Linked DNA regions of Macaca mulatta. The protein of the gene in region 3 interacts with the protein of the main gene of each other region in a biochemical or structural test. Links are inferred from orthologs where the notes say so. Each region holds a gene or a part of one and is shown on either strand. Other genes may lie near its edges. The genes, in order: GRK2, RIC8A, GNAQ, RGS4 and PLCB1.

Evidence for each region.
Region 1: the proteins of GNAQ (region 3) and GRK2 form a complex in vitro, tested with the Homo sapiens proteins (3 studies listed by BioGRID). The link is inferred for Macaca mulatta from reciprocal best matches to the Homo sapiens genes GNAQ and GRK2.
Region 2: the proteins of GNAQ (region 3) and RIC8A form a complex in vitro, tested with the Homo sapiens proteins (2 studies listed by BioGRID). The link is inferred for Macaca mulatta from reciprocal best matches to the Homo sapiens genes GNAQ and RIC8A.
Region 4: the proteins of GNAQ (region 3) and RGS4 form a complex in vitro, tested with the Homo sapiens proteins (3 studies listed by BioGRID). The link is inferred for Macaca mulatta from reciprocal best matches to the Homo sapiens genes GNAQ and RGS4.
Region 5: the proteins of GNAQ (region 3) and PLCB1 form a complex in vitro, tested with the Homo sapiens proteins (2 studies listed by BioGRID, with this or other methods). The link is inferred for Macaca mulatta from reciprocal best matches to the Homo sapiens genes GNAQ and PLCB1.

The regions. Positions count from the first base shown.
Region 1 is NC_133419.1:7,117,090-7,123,368, reverse strand, and holds the start of GRK2 (beta-adrenergic receptor kinase 1), read left to right. Parts: upstream 1-2,025; 5' UTR 2,026-2,367; coding exon 2,368-2,480; intron 2,481-3,335; exon of another isoform or gene 3,336-3,517; intron 3,518-6,279. UniProt on the Homo sapiens protein: Specifically phosphorylates the agonist-occupied form of the beta-adrenergic and closely related receptors, probably inducing a desensitization of them. Key regulator of LPAR1 signaling.
Region 2 is NC_133419.1:86,396-90,942, forward strand, and holds part of RIC8A (chaperone Ric-8A), read left to right. Parts: coding exon 1-248; intron 249-816; coding exon 817-908; intron 909-1,493; coding exon 1,494-1,644; intron 1,645-2,720; coding exon 2,721-2,816; intron 2,817-2,889; coding exon 2,890-3,052; intron 3,053-3,128; coding exon 3,129-3,273; intron 3,274-3,589; coding exon 3,590-3,709; intron 3,710-4,526; coding exon 4,527-4,547.
Region 3 is NC_133420.1:109,008,715-109,014,904, reverse strand, and holds the start of GNAQ (guanine nucleotide-binding protein G(q) subunit alpha), read left to right. Parts: upstream 1-1,981; 5' UTR 1,982-2,028; coding exon 2,029-2,164; intron 2,165-6,190.
Region 4 is NC_133406.1:20,799,396-20,805,630, forward strand, and holds the start of RGS4 (regulator of G-protein signaling 4), read left to right. Parts: upstream 1-2,279; 5' UTR 2,280-2,343; coding exon 2,344-2,401; intron 2,402-2,659; coding exon 2,660-2,936; intron 2,937-5,777; coding exon 5,778-5,882; intron 5,883-6,187; coding exon 6,188-6,235. UniProt on the Homo sapiens protein: Inhibits signal transduction by increasing the GTPase activity of G protein alpha subunits thereby driving them into their inactive GDP-bound form. Activity on G(z)-alpha is inhibited by phosphorylation of the G-protein.
Region 5 is NC_133415.1:75,850,064-75,856,360, forward strand, and holds the start of PLCB1 (1-phosphatidylinositol 4,5-bisphosphate phosphodiesterase beta-1), read right to left. Parts: upstream 3,530-6,297; 5' UTR 3,524-3,529; coding exon 3,425-3,523; intron 1-3,424.

The DNA.
Region 1 (6,279 bases), on a different chromosome or scaffold from region 3:
CATTTTCCAATTGATGCAGATATGTAATGAGACTTCACTCCCCACTCTCAAAACTTGCAATGATGCATCTTGCAATGATGCATCTTGCAACTGAAGATGGAAAATAGGGCCTAGAAGGTGGGAAGTGTAGAATTGGAGATGTACATAGTTGGGGTCAGGGAGTCAGGGAAGACTGCCGGGAGGAGGTGAGTCTTAGCGGATAAGTAGGAGTTGGCCAGGGAGGAAGGTACACAGAAGGGCTTCCAGGCCCAGGAAACAGCAGAGGCACAGAAGTGAGAATGGGTGGGTGAGTTGGTGGGGGAGCTCCAGGTGCAGAGGATGGTAGCAAAACAAACGGGAGCATCCAAGGTCCAAGTCCTCCAAGATCTTGACTTGCAGATTAAGGAGTTTGTTCACCTAACCTGCTTTGGGCAGAGTGGGGTGAGTCCTAGAGACCCCTCTAGGTCTCTCACTCTCAGTAGCCCCAGAAGGCCTGGAGAGCTGCTTCTTGGTGCCAAGCAGGCAGTGACTCCATCAGATCTAGACCTGGGAAAGGCATCTCTGGTCAGGGCCTGCATCAGGGCAGTGGCTGGCCATAGGACCCTGAGAAGTAGACAGATTCAAGGAGATTCTCAGGAGGCCAGACAGGAGACTATAGTGACAAATTAGAGAAGGGGAGAAAATGAAGGAGCAGTTAGGGAAAAGAAACCTGGGGCTCACCACTCACTGAGAGGAGAACCTCACTAGCTCTGATATGCTCTGGTTCCAGGTTCTGTTGGGACTGATCCAAGAAGGTAGCCTAGAAGTGCACAGAGATGGGAGCCTTGCTTTGCAAAAGGATCCTGGTTGCTGGCCCACAACATGGTAATGAGATTTGAGCTCTATGTGCCCAGGGCTGGGAGGAGGGTCCTATCACTTCAAAAGCAAAGAGAGGGTCTAGAGAGGGGCATGTTGAGATAGGACTGCTGCCTTGAGACACCTGGCTTTCCTCACTCTGGGTGGGCTCTCGGGTGGGTTTCCCCTACCAGGCAGCACTGAAACCTCTGTGCCCTCCCAGGCTGGGAGAGGTTTCACCCTACATGTGGAACCATCCTGAAGGAGCGTCTAGATGGGATGGGGTACACGGAAGGGAGCTGCCAAGAGTGCTGGCCAGGGACCTGGGTCTACGAGCCTGTTAGGGGGTGGGGTTGGGTGTAGGGTACTTGATCCAGAGTGGGCCTGCAGGGGCCAGGATTGGTTCTAGAGTAGGAGGGGTGGGATCGGGGATGGGGGAAGGCTGTAATTGGACTGTAGTTGTCAGATCCCAGGTTCTGGGTGACCTACTAAGGATTCTGGGTCCAATGTGGGTCCCAGGTTAGATGTCCTAGTCCCAAGTCTGTGTCCACAGTTCTGGGTGTTGAGCCTAGGACAGTGGTCTGGAGTTGATAGTCCAATCTAGGTCTGAGCCCTGACCCCAAGTCTAGGATGCAGGGTCATGGTAGTGGCCTAGGGTCAGAGTCAAGGTTGGGGTCAGTAACCAGGATGAGATCGAGGTCATGGTCCAAAATCTGGATCTGGGGAACTGTTAGGGGTCTGGGGTGAGTGTCACAGTCTGGGTATGGCGTTGGAGACCCAGGGCTGTGATCTGAGGTCATGGTTAGAGTCTGAGGTGGCGGGCAAAGGTTTGAGTCTGGGGTCCTGTTTGGAGTCTGGTGTCAGGTCGTGGACTGCGTCAAAGGTCAGGGAGTCTGGGGTTATAGCCAGGGTCTGAGATGAAAGCCCCGGGGTGGTGTTCAGAGGTCTGAATCTGTGTCTTGGTGAGCGTCCAGGTTCCTTGTGATCATGTCTGTTGTCAGGACCACGGCCTGACTGGAGAGCCTGGGATTCAGAGATGTGACCCGAGGTTGTGGTCAAGGAATGGGTCTGGGATCGTCTTCCGTGCCGGGTCCCTGTCTTGTTCCAGGCCCGGGTCTCCGTCCAGACCCGAGGTCACCGCCAGGATCTGAGCCCTCTGTCGCAGGTCTCCGCGCGGCCTCCAGGGGGCACCATCGCCCGCCCGGCTCGGCCACTTGCGGGCTCGCTGGCGCTGTGCGCGGCAGGCGGGGCCGGAGGCGGCGGCGGCTCCGGGGCGCGGGCGCGCGGGCGGCGGCGGCGGCGGCGGCGGCGCCCCGACTGCAGTCCCGGCGGGAGCGGAGCGCGAGCCGGGGCCGGGCCCGAGCCGGCGCCATGGGGCGGCGCCGCCTGTGAGCGGCGGCGAGCGGAGCCGCGGGCGCCGAGCGGGGCCAGGCGGGAGGCGTCGGCGCCCCAGGCCGACCGAGCCGCGGCCGGACCGGGCCGAGCGCCGAGCGAGCGGGAGCGGCGGCGGCGGCGGCGGCGGCGGCGGCGGGAGGAGGCAGCGCCGCCGCCAAGATGGCGGACCTGGAGGCGGTGCTGGCCGACGTGAGCTACCTGATGGCCATGGAGAAGAGCAAGGCCACGCCGGCCGCGCGCGCCAGCAAGAAGATCCTGCTGCCCGAGCCCAGGTGAGGAGAAGTCGCCCGCGGCCCCGGCCCGACCCCGCGGGCACCCCGGCCGCGACTCCGAGACCCTGGCCCCACACTCGACCCCGCGACTTGGACCCCCGGGGCCGGCTCTCGCGACCCTCTGTCGGCCCCCGAGCCCGGAGCAGCCCGGCCGTGGCGCCTGCGGGTCCAGACGCTAAGCCCCAGACCCCGGGCGCCTGAGCCCGGAGCGCCCCAACTCCGGAGCTCCTCTGCCCCTTCGGCCCCCGGGCCCGCTCCGGTCCCGCCGGCCGCCCTGCTGCTTCCTTATCGCGTTCCGCCGGCCCCCCGCTCCAGTCGCTGTCAGCCCCTAGCTCCCGCCTTCTCCCACAGGGGCCCGGCGCGCCCCTTCATCCTCCTCCGAGCAGCCCTTGGTCCCTGTGGGGTCCCTTCCCCTCCGCCGGCCACCATTTACCTCGCCTGACGATGTCACCCACCCTTTTGCTGTCCCTGCTCACGGCACCCGCCTTGGGGTTTCCACTACCCCCACCCGTCTCCCCTCCAGTCTACACTTGTGTGAGGTGTGGGGGGACAGCCAGTTTTCCGGACTCTTCTCCCACCCTCTGGTGGAGTCGCTATCCTGTAGTTGGGCTTGAGAGTGCTTTCGGGGCGGCGTGGTGAGCAGGACCTAGGGTGCTGCGGACGCCCTCCCCCTCGGACCGCGCTCAGGTGGGGGAAACATGCCGTGCCCTCTCCCCCACATTCCTTCTCGGGCGTGCACTGCATATGGTGCCCGGTGGGTGCTGTTGACCAGGGGCCCTCCCAGCACACTGGCAACAGCTGGACCTTAGCTGCCGCCCCTGTAAGACAACTGACATCACACCTGGTATCAAAGTTTAGACTGTTCAGGATGTAGGTGCAAAAGTACACAGGATGTGGACGATTGCTGCGGTTTGTCCAGCTCTTTATGGCTGATGGAGTATCTCTCCACTGTGTGAGCCTCTCAGCAGCGAATGGGGTGGCCAGGACAGGTGTGGTTTTGTCCCTGTGGAACAGGTGGGGAAACTGAAGCTCCAGAGGTGAGTGGCCTGCGCCAAGTCACACAGGTAGTCTCAGGTGGCACCTGGCCAACAGATCAGGGCTTCAGACTTCCGGTTCTACATTTCATTGGCTGCCCTGGCCTGCGCCAGGGAGCAGATGTGCCCGCCACGGTCCTTTGTGTCGTGTGGCAACTCCTCGTGCATGCCTGAGAGTTAGCCTCCTGGTGCCCCAGCAGGCTGGGAATGGGGCCTGTCCACACTGCCGTGGTCTTATCTTGTGACTGTGGGCAAGTCCCTTCCCTCACTGGGCCTCAGTCTTCTCATCTGTGAAATGTGGATGGCGTGAAATAAGAGTTGTGACTCTGTGATGTCCCTCAGCCTTTGAAGTGTCTGTCTAAGCCTGGGCTGACGCTGCAGGGGTGCCATGCCCATGGCCCTCACCGGCCCCCTCTGCCATGCCCTGCTCACTGGGTGTTTGGATTGACTGAACGTCAGGCCGGGGAGAGGAAAATTGGTCTGCATTCTGAAAAGGCCGTTAGGGCCTTTTTTTTCTAAGATATTTGCAATCAGATTTCTCAAAACAGGAACCAGACTGACTGTCAGCTGGGGGCTGTCCAGGGAGCAGTGACGGTTAGTGCAGAAATGAGTTCAGAAATGACAAACCCACGAGGGAGGAAATGGGGGAGTCAGCCTCTAGGGCTCAAAACGGCTCTCCTTCGTGGCCGCAGCTTTGAGACCCTCCTGCAGGATGGAGTTCGGCAATGTGTGAGGTGGGACCTTTTCTGGAACTGTCTGCGTTCGTGTACTTTTCCCCCCAGAATGCATTGCTTCTGATGGGGTGCCGCCTTGGCTCTGCAGGTGTCAGAACCCGGAGAAACGAGATGTTCTTCTTTTCCTGTCCCCTTTCCCATCCACAGCAGTGATGGCGATGATAGCAATAATGATAGGAGTTATTACTGACTTACCTGTTTTGACATCTGTCCTCTCAATTCTTCAACCAACCTGTGAAGCTGGCAAGGCCATGCCTTGCATGTAGTAGTTGCCCAAGAAATACCAGGACTGTGTGACGCCCCAGGCAGTCCTGAGCAGAAACAAGGTTGGATAGGATTCTAGGAGGACAGCAGGAGGCGGAGCCAGGCAGCCCAGGTTTTCACATTGGGTCACCATCAGCAGCATGGCCTTCCGCAAATTGCCCACATCTGTGAAATGGACTGGAGGTGCGAGCGCCGAATGTCAGTGTGCTAAGGCCTGGGAAGGGCTATGGGCCACCCCTACATGGGGGTCCAGGCCTGGGGCATTAGGGAGCAAGCCACCCTTTGCATAATGCCTTGCCTTGCACACCCAGTGGGGCAGAGCGCACCCCCCGCCGCCCCGATGGTGATCCTGACCACGTCTCATGTTTGCCCGACACTTTTCCGTTTGCAGAGTGCTTTTTACTCCATTTTGTCCTTTTGACAACTGTGGGAGGCAGGCCCAGCAGATGGGATTCTCCCCTTTAGCAGTTGAAGTCATTGAGGCTCAGGGAGGGGAGGAGTCGTGTTCTCGTCACAGAAGAAAGCTGGAATGGGGCCTCAGGTTTCTGGACCACACAGGCCAGTGCTGTTTCTCTGCTGTGCTTTATCCCCTCCACCCACCCCTGCACACCACTGTTCTCACCCCTGTCCACATTTTGCGGCGTGGGCTGACTGGCACCGCTTGTCTGGGGCCATTGGCTGTCACAGTTCACAAGGCTCAGCCCCCTTCCTGTTGGCTGGGATGGAGAATTGAGCTGCCCTGGCAAAGCTACTGCCTCGAGGGGCAGCTCCACTCCGGGGTCCCATCAGATGCAGGAGCCTGTCTTCCCCATACCCCCAAGGTCAAGGTCAGAGTCAGGGAGAGGGGCTGTGGCTTGTCCCCGTGACAGGGTGCCTCTGGGAATTGTTCACACCTTGAGGTGGCCCACCTTGGCAGTCCCTCCATGGCTGGTGCCTGGGGATGTGGCTTGGCCGAGAGCTGGGGCTGGCATCACAGCTCTGAGTTCCAATGCCTAGGGAATGGGAGTGGTTAGGCACAGTGCCACATTGAGTTGGTACAGGGGCCTCCCCTTCTGTCACCCTATAGAATCCGAGGAAACAGTCCCTTTCCCCGACCTTCTTCTAGAAGGAGGCAGCGTAAGGCAGCATTGTGTATCTGGAGGATGGGAGACCTGGCTTCTCCCTCTACCACCAGCCCACATGGGACCCAGGCCAGTCCCTTAGCCTGACTGGGCCTGCCTCGTTTTCCACCTTGGTAAATTTAGGGGGCTGCCCCTTCACTCTCAGGGTCTGTGGTCTGGACCTTGCCCTGAAGGAACTGCCGTCTCCCTTTCCCGGCAGCCAGCAGTCTTGTAATTTTCATCATTTGCTTGATATGACCACTGAGGCCTGGTGTAATTAATCTCTGGGCTCCTAGCTGAGGAGCCCTGCCTGGGCGCTCCCAGGAGGTTCCTCTGCCCTCCCCAGTGACAGTGGCAGCCCCAGCAGCAGATTGTCAGAGCCAGGTGCCTCTTGCAGCCTCCCGATTTCTTGGCTGTTTCCTGGTCCCTCCCCACCGAGAGTTTCCTCCTTCCTGCCCCTTTCTGGCTTCCCTGTCTCCCCAGACCCTGCCCCTGTTCCTCCGCTGCCTCGTTCCTGTTAACTCTTTGCAGCCAGAACTTCCTGCCCTTGATTTGTGGGGGAAGGAGTGCAGCGGGAAGCTTTTTCCCTCCCTCCTTCCTCCACTCCTGCGGCACCAGCTGCAACCCTGCTGCTTCCAGCCTTTGTCCCTTACCCAGAACTTTCCAC
Region 2 (4,547 bases), on a different chromosome or scaffold from region 3:
ATGTCCAGTTCTTTGACTTGAGGCTCCTCTTCCTGCTAACGGCACTCCGCACCGATGTGCGCCAGCAGCTGTTTCAGGAGCTGAAAGGAGTGCATCTGCTGACTGACACACTGGAGCTGACGCTGGGGGTGACTCCTGAAGGGAACCCACCCAAGCTCCTTCCTTCCCAAGAGACTGAGCGGGCCATGGAGATCCTCAAAGTGCTCTTCAACATCACCCTCGACTCCATCAAGGGGGAGGTGGACGAGGTGAGCCCTGACCTCAACCCATGGATGGGTCTCAACTCAGCTCCAACATTTCCTGGACCTGCTTCCCACTGGGTACCTTCAGGTTTCTGGGTGTCAGACATGGAGAGAACAGGACCTCCCAGCGTGTTGGGACAAGGCCAAGGAGATGCCAGTTCTGGGCTGGGACCTTAGGGGAGGATTCTGAGGGAAGTAGAGGCCCCTTCTGGCTCTTGCTGCCTGGCAGGGGGCTGTGTGCTCTCCGGGGAGACTGTAAGAGATCCTCCACCATGAGGCTGTGAGTGGGGCTGAGACAGAGTGTGACTTCATCCCAAGGGTGTGTGTTAACATTCCTAATCAGGGACGTGCTCTTAGAAGAATACTCATGGAGTTTTTAGGAAGACAGCAGTGGTCATCTTTTGCCCCCAGCACTAGCCAGAGTCACCTAGGAGACCCCAGGGGACCAAGTGTGCAGTACAGGAGGTGCACAGTCATTGCCACACAGTTCTGGAGTGCAACAGACAGTAGAGCCTCAGCAGGCAGCAGTGGGATGAGTGGGGCTCCTCACAGGAACCCTTCTTTCTTTGGTCAGGAAGACGCTGCTCTTTACCGACACCTGGGGACCCTTCTCCGGCACTGTGTGATGATTGCTACTGCTGGAGACCGCACAGAGGAGTTCCATGGGTGAGGATGGGGCTTTTTCTGGGAGGGAAGTGTGTCCACATGTTTAGATGGTCATCCTCAGCCCTGGCCGTGAACCAGAACCACCTGAGAGCCCAGGCCCCACCCTAGAGGGTCTGACTTTGTCTGGGTGAGTGAGACTGGACATCGGTGTGTTTCCAGAGAATACTGGGTGCTTCTAATATGTGGCCAGGACAACAGCCATGAATTTGGGGGCAGGAATGTGCCACCTGGGCCTTGGGTAGTGGCAACAGACAGTGTGGTATTTACTAGGGCACATTGGCTCCTTGTCCCCATTCTTGGTCCACCTGCCCCTTGGCTGGTGTGGTTTCCAGAGATGGTCTGGCACTTTGGCCCAGACAGGGTAGGGGAGGCAGGGTGTCTCAGCCCCCACTTCCCCAGGGGACCCCACTGTACAGCTGAGTGGCAGTGCCTCTCAGATCAGTCCCTGCCCTTGGCTTTGGTCCCCAGTGCCGCCCCTTTGGGCCTCAGACGCCAGCTCATGTAATGTGTGGTTCAGTGGGGGCACAAAGATTGCATCTGTGCTGAGGGATTAGCCCTATTGAGACCCCCACCTCCATCTGTCAGCCACGCAGTGAACCTCCTGGGGAACTTGCCTCTCAAGTGTCTGGATGTTCTCCTCACCCTGGAGCCACACGAAGACTCCGTGGAGTTCATGGGAGTGAATATGGATGTGATTCGTGCCCTCCTCATCTTCCTAGAGAAGCGTTTGCACCAGGTAGGCTGGGGATGGCTGTACAGGCTCCCCCAGTGGCTCTGGCACTGGTTCTCCTGCACAGCTGTGGTCAGTGCTTCTCCACTGGCCACATTGGTAAGTGGAAATCATCTTGGTGGTGTGATACAGGTGATTCTTCCGGCTGTTCTGTGGTCCAGCCTGGCAACAAGCTAGACCCTTCCTTCATGAGAAGCATGTGGACACCTTCCACACACTTGAAGGTTTCACTTCTTAAATCTTTGTGGATCTTTATTGAGTGGTCCTGAGAAGCCCCCAAGTCCCTGCTTTTAACTCTCAGACACAGGCAGCCCTTGACTACAAGCATAGCTGTCCCTCAACATCCTGAGGAGACCCATAGGAACCTCAGATCAAAGCTTCCCTCTGATTCCTGTGACTGCACTACAGGGCATCTGGATAGCTAGGGCTCTAACCATCCTCCAGGAGCTTGCAGAAAGCAGGCTGGAGCACAATAAACCGAGATTTAGGAGACCTCTCGGGAATCTACCTGCCTAAGCAGGGGACACACATGGTGCGTGAGAGCCAGTCAGGGTAGGGAGCTGGCACTGGACATACAGCCGGGGGGTTGTCTGTGCCTGTCGCTGTCGCTGCCACTGCTGGTGCTGGGGTCCAGGCACATTATGCTAGGAGGGTCAGGAACTCCCTGCTCTCTGTCCATGAAGTACCCAGAGTGGGGATTCGGTTCTCGTTTCTTTTTGCCACCAACATCTGAGGGCAATGTGTGTGCCAGTCTAAAGCTTTAATTGCTTTGTGTTTTCTTCCCAGCCCTGGTTTATAGTTGAGGTAATTAGACTTAAAGCAGTTATTTCTCCCAAGTCACCAAGCTTACAACAAGTACCTCTGAGTGAAGCTCTGTGCCCGTCCTTTTCAAAAGTGACACAGACACCCACCACCCACTCTTGGCCTTCTGCTGACTAACTGCAGAGGGGCCTCTTCCCAAACCTGTGCCACCAGGACCAGCTGCTGTGTATGTTGGTGGGAAGGGGCGGTGGGGGGTGTAACTCTGCGCCAGTCTCAAATTAGGCAGGAGCACAGCCACGGTGACAGAGGCTCCTCTACAGACACACAGGCTGAAGGAGAGCGTAGCTCCCGTGCTGAGCGTGCTGACCGAATGTGCCCGGATGCACCGCCCAGCCAGGAAGTTCCTGAAGGCCCAGGTATGAGACTGAGGAGCTGGCACTCCTGGGGGATGTGGTTTCGGCCCTGATCACAGACCAAGCCCAAGCTTAGGGACGGCCACCTCCCCAGGTGCTGCCCCCTCTGCGGGATGTGAGGACACGGCCTGAGGTTGGGGAGATGCTGCGAAACAAGCTTGTCCGCCTCATGACACACCTGGACACAGATGTGAAGAGAGTGGCCGCCGAGTTCTTGTTTGTCCTGTGCTCTGAGAGTGGTGAGTTATGGAGATCCGGGTCCCAGCGCCCCCACCTCAGCCAGGCTTGCACACTGACCTCTGCCTTGCCCCCCAGTGCCCCGATTCATCAAGTACACAGGCTATGGGAATGCTGCTGGCCTTCTGGCTGCCAGGGGCCTCATGGCGGGAGGCCGGCCTGAGGGCCAGTACTCGGAGGATGAGGACACAGACACAGACGAGTACAAGGAAGCCAAGGCCAGGTGTGTGCCCCCAACACCCCCTCGGGTCTCCACTCAAAGCCCCTAGTCCCTGCTTCGACATCCATGTGGACCACTGTAGGGTGGGACAGGATGACCAGTGGGCAAGACCTTCCAGAATCAAGCACCTGTCCCTAAGTGCTATCTGGGATACCAGAAGGTGGCAGGTGGCAGTTGCTGGTTACCAGTGCCGCTTCTGGAGGGAGGCCTCTTCCTGCAGTTGCCTTGCCCACCTCGCCCCACTGGGAAAAGAGGTGGCTTGCCTCCTGTCCTGGAGAGTCACTAATGCATTCCCCACATTCCACCTGCTGGGAAACAGCATAAACCCGGTGACCGGGAGGGTGGAGGAGAAGCCGCCTAACCCTATGGAGGGCATGACGGAGGAGCAGAAGGAGCACGAGGCCATGAAGCTGGTGACCATGTTTGACAAGCTCTCCAGGTGTGTGGCATGATGAGGAGGGGCCTGTAGCTGGGAGAAGAGAGAGCTGACCCACATCCTGTCTTGTGAGCCCCAGGAGGTAGGATCAGAGGAGAGCTTAGGATCCTGGTGTTAGGTTGCATTGCTGATGTTTGAAATCACTTGCCCTAGAGGAAATCCCCCCAGGGGATGGGTGTATTGAGATCAGTATTGTGCCCATTTTACAGATGATAACTGAGGCCCAGAGAAATTAAAGAGACTGTCTAAGGCTGGGCATGGCAGCTCACGCCTGTAATCCCAGTACTTTGGGAGGCTGAGGCAGGTGGATCACAAGGTCAGGAGATCAAGAGCATCCTGGCCAACATGGTGAAACCCCGTCTCTGCTAAAATACAAAAAAAAGTTAGCTGGGCGTGGTGGTGGGTGCCTGTAGTCCTAGCTACTTGGGAGGTCAAGGCAGGGGAATCACTTGAACCTGAGAGGCAGAGATTGTAGTGAGCTGAGATTGCGCCACTACACTCCAGCCTGGCGACAGAGTGAGACTTCGTCTCAAAAAAAAAAAAAAGAGATGGTCTAACATTGCTACACTTATTGGAGATGGCCCAGTGTCCAAATGAACAGACTGCTTAAGACCAATTTAGATGTCTAAATTAAGAAACTGCTTAAAGCCATGAGGTAGCAGTTAGGATTTGGGCCCAATTAACGGAAGGTCCAACCAGGCTTCCCCCGTAAATGAGAGCAGCTTACTTGGTGAAGAGGAAGGTAGCAGCCAGGGGTGAGCAGGACCCCTGCCTGGCCAACTGGGCCCCTTCCCCAGCCCCATTGCACCTTTCCCCACAGGAACAGAGTCATCCAGCCAAT
Region 3 (6,190 bases):
CTGGATCAGCAGGTTGCACCAGGGACACTTCAGAGAACACATGAAACGTGAAAAAGCGGTTCTCGTCATAAAAGACAATTTTCTTTGAAGATCTCAGATTCCTTTAAGGCAGGAAGCAGTATGAGTTTCACCTCCTGGACCTGATTGAACGAGATTATTTTCGTGTGCTATTTATCAGCAGACGATCACAATGAAATATGCACACGACACTTAACTGCCTCAATCAAATATTGCAAACCAAAAAAACTAGAATGCCACTTTGCTGGGGCCACCTTAGTTTCTCTTCTATTTCATTGTTTCCTTTCCGTTTATTTCATATTATTTAACATTTTCCCATAAGTCATCCATAATTCAATCTCAGTCTAGAAGGGTAAATTCGATTACTCGGCGGTTAAACATTGTGTGCCTTGTCAGAAACAAGAGAACTTGTGAAACAAAAACAATAACAACTTAAAAAAAAACAGAAACAACCAACCACCACCAAAAAAACAAAGGCATGAAAAGTTGGAACCTATCGGGAGGCTGGGAAACTTGGGCAGCTTCCTTTCTCTGCTCAGGATTTAGATTTCTATCTCTCGTTACTTTGCGGACAGCTTCGCCTGTGAATCTCCCCCTGTGCCTCCGGGCACCGGTGCCAATTCCTTCCCTTCCCCAGTTGCCCCCCACAGTATAGAGGATCTTATTTTCTAAGACTGCACCGGGGTCAGAGGTGACACGAGAGTTTCTAACCGAATGGCGTTTTAGAAATAGGAACGGGAAACACAGAAGCGGCTGAGGAGCGTCCCCGCGGAGCACACAGGCACAGCGCGGGAGCCGCGGACGCCAGCGCCGGCGCCGCAGGGAGCGCGTGCGGGGCTCCGCGGGGCCGCCTCCCGCGACTTCAGCAGGGGCCGCGGCCGCGCTCCCGGGCCGGTGGGCTGAGGCAGGCAGAGACCGCCATTTTCCCGCCTCACCACGCCCGGCCGGACGGCAGCCGCAGGTCGGCGGCGGTCCTAGCACGCAGCGGCGACCGCCGGCTCGGGCTGCACGTCGGCGGCCGGGGGCGGCCGTGACCGCGGCGCCAGCGGGCTCTGCCGAGGGTACGGGAGCAGTGGGCGTCCGCAGAGCCCGAGAGAGCCGGCCCAGCCCGGGAGCCGCGCGGGCGAGGCGAGAGCCGCACTGGGAGGCGCGCCGCGGCGGCCGCGAGCCCAGGAAAGCCTTCCAGGAGGGGCCGGGCGGCACCGCCTCCCGGCTCCCCTCCTCCCGCGCCCGTCCCCTCCGCCTCCTCCCCTCCTCCTTTCGCCGCCGCCTCCTCCCTCCCGGATCTGTGCTCCAGTTCAGAGAAAGAAGAAAATGTGTGTGTGTGGCGAGGGGGAGGGCGCGCACTGAGCAGCCGCTCCGCGCCTGGCAATCGGGGCAGGGGGTGGGCGTCTGGCGGGGGCGGGGGCGGAGGCGGAGGCGGAGGAGCGCGCGGTTGCCGGGCGGGCCGGGAACCGGGTCTGCGCGCGAGCCGGGCGGTGGGCGCGGACAGGGCCGAAGGCGCCCGGGAGCCGTGTCAGGCGGCGGCGAGGAGCGGGCGCGCCGGGCGCGGGGAGCCGTCGGCGGCCGCTCGCTGCGGGGACACCCCGGTGGATGAGCTCTCGCCGCCAGGCGCACGGCGTAGGGGAGCCTCACAGGCGGCGGCGGCGGCGGCGGCTCGGGGGGCGAGGCGGGCCGCCCGTTCCTGGGGAAGGAGGCGCGGGCGTCTGAGCGAGGCCGGGCGCGGCGGCCTTCTCTCACGCGCCCCCCGAGCCAGCGCCCGCCTCCCGCGCCCGCCTCGCTTCTCCCGTCGGCCCAGGCCATCCGCTCCCACCGCGCCCCCGGCCCACCTGGTGGCTCCGGCTCCGGCCGCTGCCCCCGCGGCGGTTCCCGGAGCTCGTCCCGGCCGCGCGCCCGGGCGGCGGGGGCTCGGCGGCCACCGCTGCCTCGGGGGAGCGAGGGCGGGAGGGTGTGTGTGCGCGCTGTGAGCAGGGGGTGCCGGCGGGGCTACAGCGGAGGCACTTTGGAAGAATGACTCTGGAGTCCATCATGGCGTGCTGCCTGAGCGAGGAGGCCAAGGAAGCCCGGCGGATCAACGACGAGATCGAGCGGCAGCTCCGCAGGGACAAGCGGGACGCCCGCCGGGAGCTCAAGCTGCTGCTGCTCGGTGAGTACCGCCCGGGGCCCCGCCGGGCCTCTGCGCCCCCAGCCCACCATCCTTGGCCCTGCGGGACAGCTGCCCTCTCGGCGTCCCCCGCCCCCCGGCGCCCCCGGCTAGCCCCTACCCTCCCGGGCGCGCCCCCGGCCACTGCCTTCACCCGCGCGGGCGCGCGGGCGCGTTACACACACACACACACACCCAGATACACACACGCAGGCGCGTTACACACACACACACACACACACACACACCCCCACCCACCCACCCACCCAGATACACACACGCAGCAGAGGGGTCGCGGCTGCCCTGCCGGGTGTCTCGGCTTTTTTCTTTTTGGGTCCCTGAGGGCTGTGCCTTATCTGCTGTGCATCTGCTAAATGGCAGATCACTCCGGCCAGAGGCGCGGGGGTGGAAAGGTGGGCAGAGGGGTTGAACTTCCAGTGTCGTGGCCGCGGCATCCCATGGGGTGGTGGCGCGGGGAGCCGTGTGTGTGGCCCAGCGGGTGGCGAGCGGAGCTGGGGCACGTTGGGAGATGGCCTGCGGTGGGGTGGCCGGTGTGCATCCATTATCAGTGCCCTCTGGGGTCAGGAGGGAATGGGGGAACGGTGGGCAGACTCGCAACTGGATTCCCGGAGCACTGATGATGAGGAAGCCAAGTGGTTGGCCCTCCAAGGAAAGGGCCTGTGTATTGGGGGCGGGGCGGGAGGGCGAGCCCAAATGTGTCACAGAAGTGCTGTTCTCTAGCCACCAGACCATCGAAAGGAGGGAGCCTAGAAGAGTTTCTTGGCTAGTGGATGGTGACAGGCGTGATTCTCGTCTGCACCATTGCTTCTAGATAAAGATGAGGGTAGGGGAGTGTTGTGCTGTGTGGTTGTTGACAGCGACCGGTATCTTTTGTTTAATGAGGCAACCCAGATGTAGGCCTGAATTCACAATAGTTACTGCCGAAAACCAGTGCAGTCTCTCAGTTACTCTCTTGGCAACAAATAGAAACCTTTTGTTTAAAACACATAGCATTTTAATATCTTTGGAATCTGGGCTAGAAGGAAAACGGGAAGCATACAGGAAAAATTTTCCTCTAGTCTTGAAAAAAAATTCTGCTTTAGCTCTAAGTTAGCAAGAAAATGCCATTTCTCAAATAGAAATTTATTGATGATTATCTCAGAGAGGATGTTCAGAATCAAGCGATCAGGATTCACATACAAGCCACAGTGACAGAACCCTGAGCTATTGTGGTGGGAAGAGCAAACAGCTTTGCAGTAACAGGCCTGAAAAATGTCTTGTGTTCTGGATATTTGCATGTATAATAAATGTGTTTCTCAAACATTTCTGTAAGAAAAGAATATTGTACTGTCAGTTGGTGTTTGAGAAGCATGCATTTTCTTTCTTATCTTGAGCATTCCATTTGCTGGCTCAAGGAACCAATTGCCTTTGGGAATGAACTGCTTATGTACTGTATCATTTACAAGCAGGAGCAAAATATACTGATCACACACATAGTTACTAATAGTTAATTCACATGACATGCTTTATGTCTTCATTTTGAAACTCAGATAAATGGGCACATGTTTATAAAGAACTGAAGGCGAAACACTAGATGAAAGAGGTGGGCTTAGGGGAATGAAGCCAGGGAGGAGGCAAACTGCAGTTGGAAAGTAAAGATTTTTTTTTTTTAAATTCTCATTTTGAGCTACTTCTAATGGCTGAAAACAGGCAGTGGAATGTTTTCTGAGTTCTCAAGATTGAGAAGAAAATAAAGAACAAAAGAAATATGTAGAGTGTTTAAGTGCATGATTAAGGGGAAAAGCACGTATTTTAGAGAGACTTGTTTTAAGAATTGTTTGTTTCTTCTGTTGCCCTGTTGACAGTCTTTGTTTCTGTTTAACTGTGAACTGGGCAGTTGAGGTCTCTCCAGCCAACCCTGTTTGCCTGAAAAGTGACAGCTCTGAGTTTCCCAGCAGCTAAGAGTTGAAGCCCAGGGAACCGGTTTGTCAATGGGCCTAGGTTTGAATGTTTAAGGGAAATACACTTACATGGATGCTTAATTCCATACTGTGTGTTTAAATAACACTGTGCTTTTAAAAATGAACTTGGAGATAATTTTCTGAGAAAAAGTGTAAACCAGTTTTACTGCTAAAGTGGTGGTAGTGTGGAGAACTTTTTTTTCCTCTTATTCGCGGAACATCATGCAAGTATTGTTACTGCTTCATGTTCTTGGTATGTTGCCTTTGCAACATAAATACCACAATACACTATATAGTAATGTACGCTAAATGTGGATTTGTGCGTGCATGTGTGTGTATGAGTGTGATTTCAGGAGTTTTTGAATCCAGGATGGTTGATTTCAACAAGGAAGATATTAGGGAAGGATTTCATTTGAGGAATTCCTGATTTGCTGCTTTGATGAGTAGACTGAATGTTCTGGTTCCTTCTATCATTTAAACAAAACCTGTCCAGAGGAGATTATAGAATGTATCCATTCACAGTTTAAAGATCTACTAATATTTTTAACCAGTTTATGGAGGAATAACTGTATTTTGAAATGAAATTCAGTATAAAATTGTTTTCAAAGTAAATTTTAGTTCAAGACTTGATGCCATTTTAATGGAAAAGGATTTGTTTGACAGGGATAAAAGTGGGTACCCTTGCATTTGCTCATACAATTATTTACTTTTGTATATTAATAATATGGAGACATTTAAAAAGGCAAGTAGTAGGTACCTGACTAGATGAAAGTATGGCAGTAAAATTTGGGCTATTTTGATTTATATTCGGCAACTGTGCTAATCTTCCAAATTTATTCCATATGCTTATATATTATATATTTTATTTTAACTTTAGAAACGTGAACCCTGAAATCTACCACTATAAGAATATTACATTAAATTTTGAATTATTTTCTTGTTGTCTTTTAACTTACTCATTCTTTGAATTCATTTATATTAGTGTTTATTTTGACACTCAAAACTTAGTCTCTGCATTCAATGTAGATACACAAGAGCATACTTCATTTTTACTTGGTTAATGTTTTTGTGTATTTTGTAGGTGTAAAGCACATATTTCCTTTAATTGATTAATTTTCATGAATATTCACTAAATATTTCTATTGGTGGTACGTAGATAACCTCATTTAATGTAATTTGTCTGTAAGTCTGTGTAATACAAATGGCCTTGAATGCCTGCTTCATGTTACATATAGTTATCCTGAAATTTTTTTCAGTTCCTAGAAGAAACATTTTTTTCCTATTAACCTGTTCTTATTTTACATGTTTTTGAAGTCTTTTACTCTTTAGATCTTAATTATCAAATAGGATTTAGCAAACCCCCTTTAATTGATTGAATTATCGCTATTGAAACAGGCAAAGTTTAGGCCAGTCTTCTTTTTTTTTTTTTTTTGAGATGGAGTTTTGCTCTTGTTGCCCAGGCAGGAGTGCAATGGCTTGACCTCAGCTCACTGCAACTTCTGCCTCCCAGGTACAAGCGATTCTCCTGTCTCAGCCTCCCAAGTAGCTTGGATTACAGGCATACGCCACCACGCCTAGCTATTTGTTTTTATATTTAGTAGAGCTGGGGTTTTACCATGTTAGGCTGGTCGCGATAGGCCAGTCTTAAATGGAAGACCTTAAATGCTCTTGGAATTCTGAACTGAATTTTGTATATGAGCATAGATTTTCTTCCTGTTGTACACTGCAGACATATGAGAGTATGAGTTGTGTCTGTTTTACTCACTATTAAATCCCAGCTTCAAGCACAATATCTAACTCGTAGAATGTTCTCAATAAATATTGGCTGAGTAAATGAATTTATTTATTACCATCCTGCTGGAAATTAGAACAGACAATAATGAATACATTTATAGAAACATAGGAATATATAGTGTTTTTATCTGTGGCAGATATAATCAGGATCTTAAAAAAATTGTGCGTAACTCTTTGAGCCAATTGATTATAAATGCATTCCAGGATAGGAAGTGTTAATGTAAGATGTTGCATCACACATTAAATCAGTGTATTACAGTTCTGTACTGGATGC
Region 4 (6,235 bases), on a different chromosome or scaffold from region 3:
GAAACTCTACTACAGTGGAGATTTTGTCTGCTTGTTCACCATGCTAAATACAGTTCTTCAAAGAGTACTTGACACAAACTAGGTAGTCAAAAGATATTTCTTAAACAAATGCATAAATAAAAAGTAGATCTTTTGAGAGTAAATCTCTTCCACACTACCAGAGTCATTCAGGAATGACAAATCACAGAATAACAGAATTTGGTGCTTTGTGCATATCAGAGAAAGAAAGTGGAAGGTTGTCAAGGTATCATGATGTACCAGTCCTCGCCTCCTCAAACACAATCTGCAAGTCCCACAGTGAAAAAATAAGTTAACTCATGTGAAGCATTTTACAAACACTTTTAAAAAAGTTTTAAAACTCCTAGGAAAGCAAGATTTAATAGTCAAAGAAGTGAGTAAATATGAAATGCCTGAACAGAGTAATGAGCTAAGCACAAAGTTAGAGACCTGGTTTTAATAGGGAACCACCACATTGAGGTCTGCAGCAACTCCTGCTTTCACAGAGCAAGAAATTGGGCAAGTGAACACTCCTTGAATAAAATATGTAAAATTAATTTTGGCTTATGTTCTATACTGTGTATAATAGAATGATAAAAATTATTTGATTAGCACTTCACTTTGTAGTTTAGAAATATCTCTATTTACATAGTTTATCTCATTTGAAAAGACGGTTGAGTGATAGGGTAGCATGGTGGACAATCCACATAACTGAGTATCGAGACACCTGTATGTGGACCCAGCTCTGTTAGTGAGAAGCTGTAACCTCAGCAAGCCACTTTCTCTTTCTGGGTCTCTATTTCCTTTTTGATGAAATAAGGGCGTTAGGCTACATTGCCTTTAAAGTCCCATTTTGTCTTTAAAGTCCCATCTATTGCAGTGATTTATATTTAACTCATGACAAATCAGGCTTCTCTTATTCTAAGTCCAAGAGATAAAGCTCTTATTGTGGAATTTCAGGCATCAGTAAACCTTTTCGGGTCCTCACTTATGTTCCTAAAATCAATCTGTTTGAGTGATCACTCTTTTAGGTGTCCATGTAAACAAAGAAGGCTGTGGTCTTTCTTTGAGTGACCTTCTTTCCCTTTTAATTAGTGTGTCCTCTTTAATGTCAGTTCCAACTGATTCCTCTCCCTGGTCCATCTTCCTTGGTCTAAGGGCCTCCCTAATTTCACATTGCACTGCAGTTCCTTCCACACCACCATCAAGAATGGCTGTCAACATTCACTTGTTCTATGTTATAATTCAAGGAAGAGTTGCCCAGTATCTACTCTAATAAATGTCTTTCTATCTTTATGGGCGGCTAGAGGCTTTTTCCTATAATTTAAATGCATCTTCGGTAGATTATGGTCCCTCCACCACCTTACATTTGTCTGCTGTCTCCTTGCTCTGCTAGTCATGGAAGGTGTTGGTAGTGGGAGCAGTGTGGGATGTTCAAGGGCACGTATTGGGTCGGGCCATGTATGGGCATTGCTTTGTGACATTCTTTCTATATTTTTGGTATTTTGCATTTCACTGGAACCTAACTATTTTTCATCTCTTCCACCTAAACCATTTGATGCCTCTGTTTCTTAAATATAAAGTACAGCTCACTGTAGCCTATGATCAGGAACCTATCTGCTCTCAAAATGAAAGCTGTTTTGGTCAGATCTAGCAATTAATTCTCTTCTTCCACTTATAGCTTTCCTCTGTAACTCTGGTGTAGGTATTTGATATATGGCTATAAGATGTGAAACACCTGAATGATTCTCTCCATGCAGGCGTTTCAGTTTATGATATTGTACGTAAAAGATACTAATTGTTCAGGTGTTCAGAAACACCTATAGGGCTTAATATTCTTAACGATTCGTTTTAAGGCTGGTGATACGCAAAGCAAACTACGTATTTTTCTGCCTGCTCTGTCTCTTTCTCTCTACATCCCTCTTTCTTTATCTTTTGAAATATCAGTTTGGAGACTTAGAATTACATAAGACATAAACCCATTTGATATAAGAATTGCTGTGTATATTTGCTCACCTACTCCCTCCTTTGGTCCTCAAGCTGCTGGTTTAGACTTTTTACAGGACACAGGCATGTAAAGGAGAAACTGTCAGTGCTAGGCTGAATTCTGTTGTTACCAAGATTTCTAGAAAAGTATTCCTCAGTCAGGTTGATTACGGATATAGCAAATCTATTTTTCCTAGGGTAGTTTCTCTATGCAGCCGGGCTTATAACTGTCTGTCATCCAGCTATTTCTCTCCACCTTCTTGTTTGCATAACAACCAAGGCAACTTCTGCAAATCACTGCGTGGAGACGATGATCCTGCCAGCTCCCTTTTGGAAATCGTGAGGATCAGATCTGGGACCATGTATCATATGATGCTTCTAATCCAAAAGAGGAAGGGCACTGGGAGTCAGCTCCTAAGTAAGCTTCAGAATTCCTGCTGGTACTTTTCCTTCCAGGAAGCAACTTTCCTTGATATTGTTTTTTACAGAAATATGAATGAATACTATATTTTGCAGCATTGTACACTTTTTTCCTTTTCTAGAAATTCTAAACCTCTGACACTGGTAGAGACATTGAGTACATTTTTTTCCATATCCCTACTTTGCTGAAGGATTTTCTCTGCTCGTTCACTTAGCATTGCTGATGCGTCAGTCTTTTCCTCCTCATCTCTTTCAGGGGCTGGAGAGGCAGAGGGAGACAGAGGAGCTGGTACTGCAGAGCTGTCGTCTGATTGGCTGGACCGTCGTAGCTGGGCTATAAAAGAGACCCCTACAGGCTTAGGAGGAAGACGCTCAGAGGATTCTGAAAATATCTTTACCGGAGAAGAGGCAAAGTACGCTCAAAGCCGAAGCCACAGCTCCTCCTGCCGCATTTCTTTCCTGCTTGCGAATCCCAAGCTGTTAAATAAGATGTGCAAAGGGCTTGCAGGTCTGCCGGCTTCTTGCTTAAGGAGGTAAGATTGCTTTCAGTCATTAACCGTATTAAACTTTTGGATAGACTTTCTCAGTTATTTACATGTTGTACTTACTAACCTAGTTCTGTGCAATTAGAAACAGTGTGGTCAGGAGAGCACGACTTTCTAACTTTCCTCCAAGACTAGCTAGATACTGTGACTTAAGACATGTGCTCCCCAAATTTCAGTCCTTATGTATTGTTTCATGTGACCTCAGTTTTGAGAACTGTTCTTTAAGCCAGGTCTAAGCAAGCTAGTTTTAATTAAGAAGTGAGATGAGGCTTGAGGCTATGTATAGTGGTCTGCAATATCTCCATCTGTGATTACTGCTGTTATTTAAGCATCCCTGGAGTACATAGAAGCCTGGGTCTGGGTTTTCTGATTGTATGCTACATCTTGTTTCAGGAAAGGTACCCCAGAATGAGGTTTGGCTCCATCATCAGAAAGGCACTATGCTTTCTGTGTAGTGCTGCAGTATCTTTCACTCTCTATGTTCTTATAAGCAAATGTTACAATAAGATATGAGTTCCAAAGCCAGATCTTCCTTATCTCTCTGCCCCATCTCTAGTTCTTAAAGTGTCTTATATGAGTGTGGTTGAGAAGTATTGATCATTACAAATCAGTTAACAGTTTTGTAGATCTCACCTTAAAGATATTGTTTTGTTAATATACTCTCTTGATTTTTTAAAAAGACTTTACAGACATACAGCTATTCATTTGTTTTTCGTTTGTTCAAAAAAGGTATAAACAAATGCATTCAGAGAATGATCGTATAGTAGTCAGTTGAAAATTAAACACAAAATGAGTGCATATTACATTACTTAATCTTGCAGTTAAAGGTAAAAAGTCAATCTAAAGGTATACTACCTGCTTTCTTATCGCGCTGCAAATAGAAATTACCCCAAATTTTATTTTGGAAATAGTCTCAGAAAACATAATTTTTTATGTACTATTAAAACATTTACTTTTCAAATATTCTGTCATTCAGGAGTATGGAAGTATCTATGGCTTCTTTAAAATGAAGCAGGAGGGTCTGGCAGAGAGTATCTATGAAATAAGTTCCTCTGACCTTCACGCTTAATTTTCTGAATGGAGTGGAGCAAATTACTTCAAGCTTCAGTTAACTTACATATGAAATGAACTATACAAAAATACAAGAGTGTCAGGAGAAAGTTATGTCCTGGTAAATATTTTGCAAAACAGATAAAAGTTAATACTAGAGCTCTGTCCTCAAAGAGTTAAGCAGCTAATCTAAGGAGGTAAACTCTATGTCAGCAGAATGAACTGCCCTTCCCTTTCCTCACCAGTAAATTGCAAATCGTCTAGTCCAACATCTTTGCCACCAGTGCCTGAGGCTCCACAGGAGCCATCGCCTGCTCAAGGTCACATAGGTTGGTGGGTGAATTAGGACCAAATCTAGATTTCCTGACTCCAATAACTTCTGAAGTCATTTTGGTTTTTATTTTTATGTTTTTTTTTTTTTTAAATAAGAATACTTGCTAAGCACACTTAGCCCCTGCATTGATCAACAACTCTCAGATCTCAGGTGGATCCAGCACATAGAAATATGAATTCATTTCTATTTGGACTTCATGATATACTTATATTATCACCTTGGAATCACCCTAACATTCAGGATTATATCCTGTTATCATCAAAAAAGATGTTGCATCCCCTGAGCAGTCATCAGTCAGGGAAGCAGAGGAAGGAAAGTAATCTTGCAAGGAAGAGAAAATACTATTTAAGGGGCAGTCAGAGAACATAATGGAATTCAAACTTTCTGGGAAAACCTACATACATAAATGTATTAGGGGCTATGTTAAATGTCTTTCTGTCTTTGAGGCTTTATTTTCCCCACTCCAAATAGACACATTTAGTTATTCATTTCTCTTAAAATGGTATTTCTATTTTTAAATTATTTCTTGGCCTTTTTAATAAAAGAGATGCAAGCAAGAGGATATTTAATAAAAAGTAAGAGAGTTGAGCTTAAGGCTTATTAAAAGACCCCCTTTTTCTAGTTAGTCAGGAGCCCTATTGTGCCAGGCTACCTATTAAATGGTGGCAATAAATGGTGGAAGCTCAGTGATGACTCTAGCCTGCTTCTCCTAATAGCTTTTAAGCCTCAAATGCCCTTTAGAGTGTGTATGTCCTTTAAAGTAGCATTAAAAAGGAAAGCAGCAGCAGCAGATACTGTCTGGAAAGAAGCCCCAAGGGGCTGAGGTTTCAGCTTTTGGGCATTTGCTTTCACCGTCCCATGTTCCATTTCCCTCTGCTGGGGCTGCGCACCTCAGTGTATTCTTCCTCTATACCTCATAGCAGGAACTGCGTGGCCCCCACATACATGACTGGAACTGAATAGACTTTTACAGTTCCCTCTGCCTGCAGGGGAACAGATGGAAATAGCAATCACCTGCCAGAAGGTGGCGTGCAGCAAGGATGTGCATCTTTTGCCGCTACTGCTTTCCAACTCCTAAAAATTACTCAGAGATCACTCATGTTTTCAGTGATTCAGGTTCTACTGAAGATACCAAAGGTATTCTGTTGGTCAAAATGACAGGCATATAAAGGCTTCTGAGGTTTCTGAGGTAAACTGAAGGGTCAGAATTCCAGTTGTGAATGAAGGAACTAGTGTTACGACTCTGCCTCAAGGTTTTGTAGCAAGTCGTAGGGAACCAAAAGAGGAATCTTGTTTTCCTGAGAGTTCATGCCAACTCCAACTCCCATTCCCTAAACTGTCTCTGAGCCATAGACTAGTAATGGACTCTTCAAGCTCTATCATTAGGTATCTTTTAAAGAAAGCTGGTTATCACTATTTATTCATTATTTTTATCTTCTGTGCAGTGCAAAAGATATGAAACATCGGCTAGGTTTCCTGCTGCAAAAATCTGATTCCTGTGAACATAATTCTTCCCACAACAAGAAGGACAAAGTGGTTATTTGCCAGAGGTAAGAGAAAAGGCCTTGGTGAAGATCTACTGAGTATTAACTATCTGATGATAGAGATGTTCTGTAAGAGGGAAGTTGTGCTCCTAGTTAAGCCAGATTTGGATCAAGATAGCCTCCATTTTCATGGAGATCTTAACTACATTTGAAATGTCTATACATTTAGTGAAAAACTGCCCTCATCAATAACATATTTTGTCATAATGATGGAAAATAAAATCTCTGCCTTTATTCGGGATCTTAGATTTCTTACCCCAATTTTTTATCATGACATTCCAATTATTCTGTTTCTCTCTATTTTTTTCTAGGGTAAGCCAAGAGGAAGTCAAGAAATGGGCTGAATCACTGGAAAACCT
Region 5 (6,297 bases), on a different chromosome or scaffold from region 3:
TGAAAGGTAAGAATGAAGAAACAGAAGGAATAAACAAATGAAAGCCCTTCCATCCCTCAGAGGTTATGGGACAGTGAGACAGAGTGCTTAAGCATGGAAAACAGGGCCAAATCAGTGGTTGGAGGTCCTATTGTACAGTTTACAGTCGTTCCTCTTTCTCTCCATGTCCTGTCCAATATAGACCAAGGCCAAGGTCCAGAAGAGAAAGGAGTTTCTCTCACAATCTCCCAAGCTCCCTAGCTTAGATCAAGAAAGTAACTCTCCTTCCACTGTCTACCTCACCAGAATTCTTCCACAATACCCACAGTCCTTAACACCCACCTCCTACCACCAGAGCCTGCTAATAGACAAATGCAAAACAAAAGCAAAGATACGAGGTTGAATTTTTAAAATATCATTAGGTCAGTGGTTTATCTTCATGCCAAGTTCAGGAGGACAAGTATAGCCTTGATGTTCAGACCGTATACACCATGAGTTTTAAAATACTGAAATAGTCAAAAAAAACCCCACCTACCTATCCACCCATCCACAGACCCTGGGGACTCCCAGACCTCCTCATGATCAAGCAGCAAAAACATTAATGCCTGGCCCTGGTACAACAGGGTATTTCCAGGATCTATTACGCACCTGCTGTCTGTTGTAATTGTTTAGTGCCTATGTTAAAGCTTTTGACTACCACCCTTAGAGCATCCACAGCCTCACCGTGACTTAGTAGGTGGCCAACAAATTATGCATGGCACTGCACCCTCTGGGTGACATCTTCCATTCCATATGGTGGTCAGGACAACAAGACCAGTGATTATACTGCTTTAATCACTTCAGGAACAAGAGATAATTTCTTCACATCCTAAACAGCCCCAAATTCATCATTTTTGAATGTCCTGTAACATTACCACACTTTTACACAAGCAGCAGCAAACATACAGAAAAGTTAAGTGATTGGCCTAAAGTCATGTAGCTTACTGGTGAAACAACTAAGAGGTAAACTGAGGCCTTTGATTCAAGATCTAGTTCTTTTTTGTCTTCAACACACTGTCTCACTAAGGTACAATATAAATAGCCAGATAACTTGAACTGGCTTGATTCTGTAAGGGCAAATATGAGCTGAGAAGAGTAGATGAGGGATGCCTGGGGAGGAAAAAGGCAACCCTAAGAAAGGCTGGGTCCCTTGTAGTCCACTGATCAGCATGAAGACCCAGAGAACCAAAGAGCCTGCAGTATAGCTCATTATATTCCAGATAACTTGACTCCTGAGTGCAGTCTAGGTTTTTTTTGTTTTGTTTTGTTGTTTAAAAAAAAAAAAAAAAAAAAACACCTGAGATTCTACTGGCCTTCTCCTTAGTGCCTACGTCTTTCCTTCCAGGAGGGCTTCCTTGGAAACTCATTGCTGCAATGCTCAGAGGGAGCTCTTTTCAACTTCTTCTTTGGTTGGTATTTCACGAACATCCTCTCTATTACCCTCAATGCATCACCCAATCTCTCTCTCATTGGTGTTTTGATGATTTTTGTCTCCTCCACCTAGCATGTAAGGTCCACAACAGCAGGGATTTTGTCTACTTTTTCACCACCCCAAGATCCAGTCTAGGATTGGCAATAATAGGTGAGCAAGAAATACGTGTTACAGAAAGGTACATAATGAAAGTCATCTACCTGGATATATCAAAATGTGTTTTCATAGAATACTTTCATTCTCAACGTGATGTTGGCTATTTTCTCCAAAACAAGAAATTATAGAGAATTATTTAAAATACAGTTTAGAATCATCACTGTATATAAATCCAGAGCTTATGCTGAAACTCCCTTTTTAAATTCTGCAAAGTCTCTTTCTCTTCCTTCTGCCCTTCACTCTCTTTCTCAGTAAATCCGTCATCACATCACCTCTCTATTCAAGGATCTCAAAATGGGCAAGACTGTCTTATTTATTGCTGAACTGCATTTTCTTTGTCTTTTTTTTTTTCCCTGACACAAAGAATTTAATCTGCGTCTGAATTTATTGTTTAGATTCTATTCCATTTACAAAAACATTCAGTCCAATTAGACTGGAACAGAAAGAAGAAAAGTGTGAAGCCCATGGTAAAAAAGATGTATGTTTACATCCTTGCCTACAGCATTTAATAATTGGCATGAGCTTTCAAGGAAGCTGTGGTTCATACTCCAAGTTCCATTTGCGCTTCCAGCTGGACAAAATATAGACACAGACGCACTCAGCTAAGTAATTGGATTCACTACCTGGAATATTTAAATTGTTTTCAGACACTGGAAAATGGCTTAAGAAGATTAAAGAAAAATACCCTAGAGAATAACAGGCTATAATTTACTAGGTGGAAAATCTTTTCGGCAAGAAGAACGCCTCATTCTCCTATAATTCCTTCTGATTAAGAGATGTATTAGTCATTTGGACTTAAATTTCCTTAGAACCTGGCAACTCGGATTTATTTCGGTAGGTTTTTCTTATCGAACCTTTTGAATGACACCCAGGACATAAAATTGATGCCATAATGCTCTCCATCAGAAGATTCGCATGTTTTCAGCTGGATGACTAATTTATGTGTTTTGAAGACAACTGGGGTAAAGGGGAAGGGGAAGTCATTTGAAGTCGTGGGGTCTGGGCTGCACGTAAAGCATTAGAGACCCTGGCGCTGGGCTAGGCTCTGCCCTACCTGGCAAATGGTGCAGGTAAGTCCTGGGGCAACCCCTCAACGTGTCTATTTCAGGCAGAAGACTCCAATCAGCTCAGTTCTCAAAAGTCAGCCCTCTCCACTTGCCTGCAGGCCCGTGAGTCCTCCAGGACCCCTCAAGGGCCCCCATTCTGTTCACGCCCTCCCCAGATGTGTCCCCGCAGCCCTTTTCAGGGACCCTCACTCCGGAGCCAGGCGCTGAAGTTTGGCATCAACGACCACCTGTTGGCTGGACCGTTGTGTCCTCCGCCGCGTGGGCTCCCACAAAAGCGCTAAGAGGGTTCGCAATCACTAAGTGTTGTGGACTTCAGGCCCTTCCTTCTTGAAATCGGGCAAAAGAGGTAATAGGGGGTGCGTCCGCAGGCAGAGAGGGACGCGACTTGTTCACACCAGGCGCTTTCCAGTTGGTCTCAACTTCACACTCCCTACTTCGCGAACTTTCAGGACCTGTCACCAGGCAAAGCTTGCCCCTCCCTCTCCACTGGCCCAAAAGATTTAAGACCCTCAGGGGGCGCTTGCCAGACCCAGAAAGGATGGCAACTACTAAAGCCCGATAAAACAGGAGCGCGCGCAAAGCTTCTGCCCTTGGACATCCGCTTTGGCAGATGCCAACCTGTGCGCCCGAGGCGGCCCCTGCCCGCTCCCAGTGCGCCCATTGCATAACGCGCCCCTCGCCCCACCCCCACGACGCCCGCCCTGCCCGGTGCCCGAGCCAGCGCCCCGACTCGCGCCGCCCCAATACTTACATCATCCCACTTGACGAATTTGATGCCCTTCTTGAGGCTGTCGGACACGCACACGGGCTTGAGTTGCAAGGCGTGCACTCCGGGTTGAGCCCCGGCCATCTGGGCTCATCTGGGCTCCGGGCGGCCCGGGCGAGCGCGGCAGGGACTGGGAACCGCGCGCGGGGCGCGGGGCGCGGGCTCCTTTCTCTGCTCCTGAGGCGCTCGACTCTTCTCCCCCGCCGGCCTCCCCGGCCTCCCGGCCTCCGCACCTCCCTCCGGCGCCGCTCAGCAGGCAGAGCGCGCGGGGGCGCAGCGCCGGGCCATGCCCCAGGCGGGACGCGAGGTCGGGAACCCGCGGTGGATGAGGAGCCTCGGAAGGCGAAGAGAAGCCGAGCCGGGCAGCCGAGGCTGCCAGTCGCGGCGGATTCTGCTCCTCCGCCGCCGCCGCCTCAAAGCGCACCATTCAGCACATCCTCTATACACAGAGGGAGAGAGAGAGTGACACACGCCCGGCGCCCCCGCTCCGCGCTCTTTTCCCTCCTCCTTCCTCCTCCCCCCACCCCCTTCCCCGCCACCCTCGCTCGCTGGGTCCTTCCTTCCCCCCGCGGCTCCCAGCCCAACTTTGCACGCTGGGTCAGGCGCCAGGAAGCGGGGATGCAGCGGCACCTCCTGGCTCCTGAGCCCCATTGCAGCCAACGCCTGCCTCCCGCATTCGCTCTGAGCATGCCTGGTGCCCTGGTTGCAGGGGTGTTAGGGGTCCCCAGGAGCCTTACGCTCTTTGGGGTTTTCTTGGGAACTTGGGCTCGAGTTCCGGAGCGTCTTTGGATCCCAACCGGGTGGGAAAAGGGACCCATTCGGAGGAACCGGAGGCAACCCGCAGCTTTCAACTGTAGCTGGAGCACTCCAGCGCCGGCCACAAACCAGCTTTTTTGAGAAAAGAATTATCATTTATCAGCAGAGACGAGCGCAGCTGAGAGGCTCTTTGAGGAAACCTCGCCACGGCTGAGAGTTTGCAGCGCGCTGATCTTGAAACCTGGGCAAACGGTTACTTTGCGCTTTTGAGATAGAAAGCCCACCCTAAAGAAAGCAAAGGTTTTATTTTCCAAGGAAGAAAGAGGATCCCCTCTCCCGCGCCTCTCCTTGAGTATGTAGGATGTGAAGCGGGTCGGGGAGAGTCTTACTAATAGAAACTTGCTCATTTAGGAACGTAGGTCCAGGAATGTTTGTCTTCACTCCTTCCACAAACATTTCTCAATTCAAGCACGGGAGGGAGGGAAGAAGGGAAAGAGGGGAACCAGAATGGATAAAATTTTAAAGACTGATAATACCAAATGCTTGAAAGGATGTGGAGCAACTGGAACTCTCGTTCATTGCTGGAGGGAATATAAAATAGTAAAGCCACTTTGGAGAACAGTTTCTAATAAAGTAAGATATTTACTTATCATACAACCTAGAAATTCCACTCCTAGGTATTTGTGCAAGAGAAATTAAAATGCAAGTCCACAGGGATTTGTAAAGTGATGTGAATAACTTTCTTCTTAGTAGCCCACATATGTCAATCAACGGGTGAATGGATAAACAAACTGTGGTATGCCCAAACATTGGAATACTATTCCACAATAAAAATGAGTGGGCATGCAAGGGCAGGGATGAATCGCGACTTTAAGCTTAGTAAAAGAAGCCGGACACGAGCATGATTCCATGTGTAGCAACTACAGAACAGGCAACATATTCTATGTTGACAGAAAGCTTGCCTGTGGCCAGGGATAGGTAGAGATGGACAGGGAAGGGCTACCAGCACCTGTTGAACATGTCGGAAATGTTCTATATCACGTGTGTATATTTATCAAAACCTGTACGTTCTGTAAGTATGCCTAAATTGAGTGCAGTTTGTTTTAAGTAAATTATATCTCAAACAGGTTGATTTTTTAAAAGAAGAAAGACCATGAAGAGAGAAAAATGGAGAGAAACACTACTTTCTCTTAATTCTTCATTCTCCCTGTTCTCTGCCCTCAGGACTCCAAGGCCCAATGTTTAAGAACTCAGTCAAAAGATTACCAAAATCCAATACAGAAAATTGCTATTAAATATTTCAATGCATTTAAAATATACTTATTGGTAGCCAGCTGTATACTAGCCACTATTGTAATCACCATGGATAACCTGGTGAACAAGACCCATGATTCCTGCTCATTTGGGGGTCTTGCCTTGTGCTTGGAAGCCACTTGCTACAAAGAATTTCATGAAAAACTGACTTGTTTCATTTTGATCACATGTCCCTAAACTAAAACCTGAATAGTCCACAGTCCCTCTAGCCAGCAGCCTTGGTTTGCTAATTACCTCACAGAAGGTACCAGTCACCTTCTCACATCCATTTTCTCTACTTCAGAGTACTGCAATGAAACTCTTCTTCCGGGGCTCCAGGACTTCTCAATTGTCCTTACAACTGATCATATCAAATTTTTTTCCTTTCCCTTCCTTTCCTTTCCTTTTTTCCTTCCATCTCTTTGTTATTTACTGGGCAAATAGTTTTTACCTATCACAGTGGCTTAGGAAGGCAAGACAAGGCTGCGCTCACTAGAAGAGGAGATAGGAGAGTTAAAATGAGCTCTAAGCAAAATAAGAAAGTAGACTGAGCCTCCTGTGGTAGCTTATTGCATCATAGTTCCCTGCTCCCTGCTCCTTCCTGTGTCCACAAATTTTTCTTTGTGACCTTACAGTTTTTACTAGACACCCTGTTTATTTATCAATCCCATTGATGTTGGGCAATGTGACTTGCTTTGGCCAATGGGATGTCTGAAGATGTGATATGAGCAAAGGCTCAAAATATGCTTTGAGGTTGGGCTTTCCCTCTTGGGTTTCTTATCATTTCCATGAGATAAACATGCCTCAGG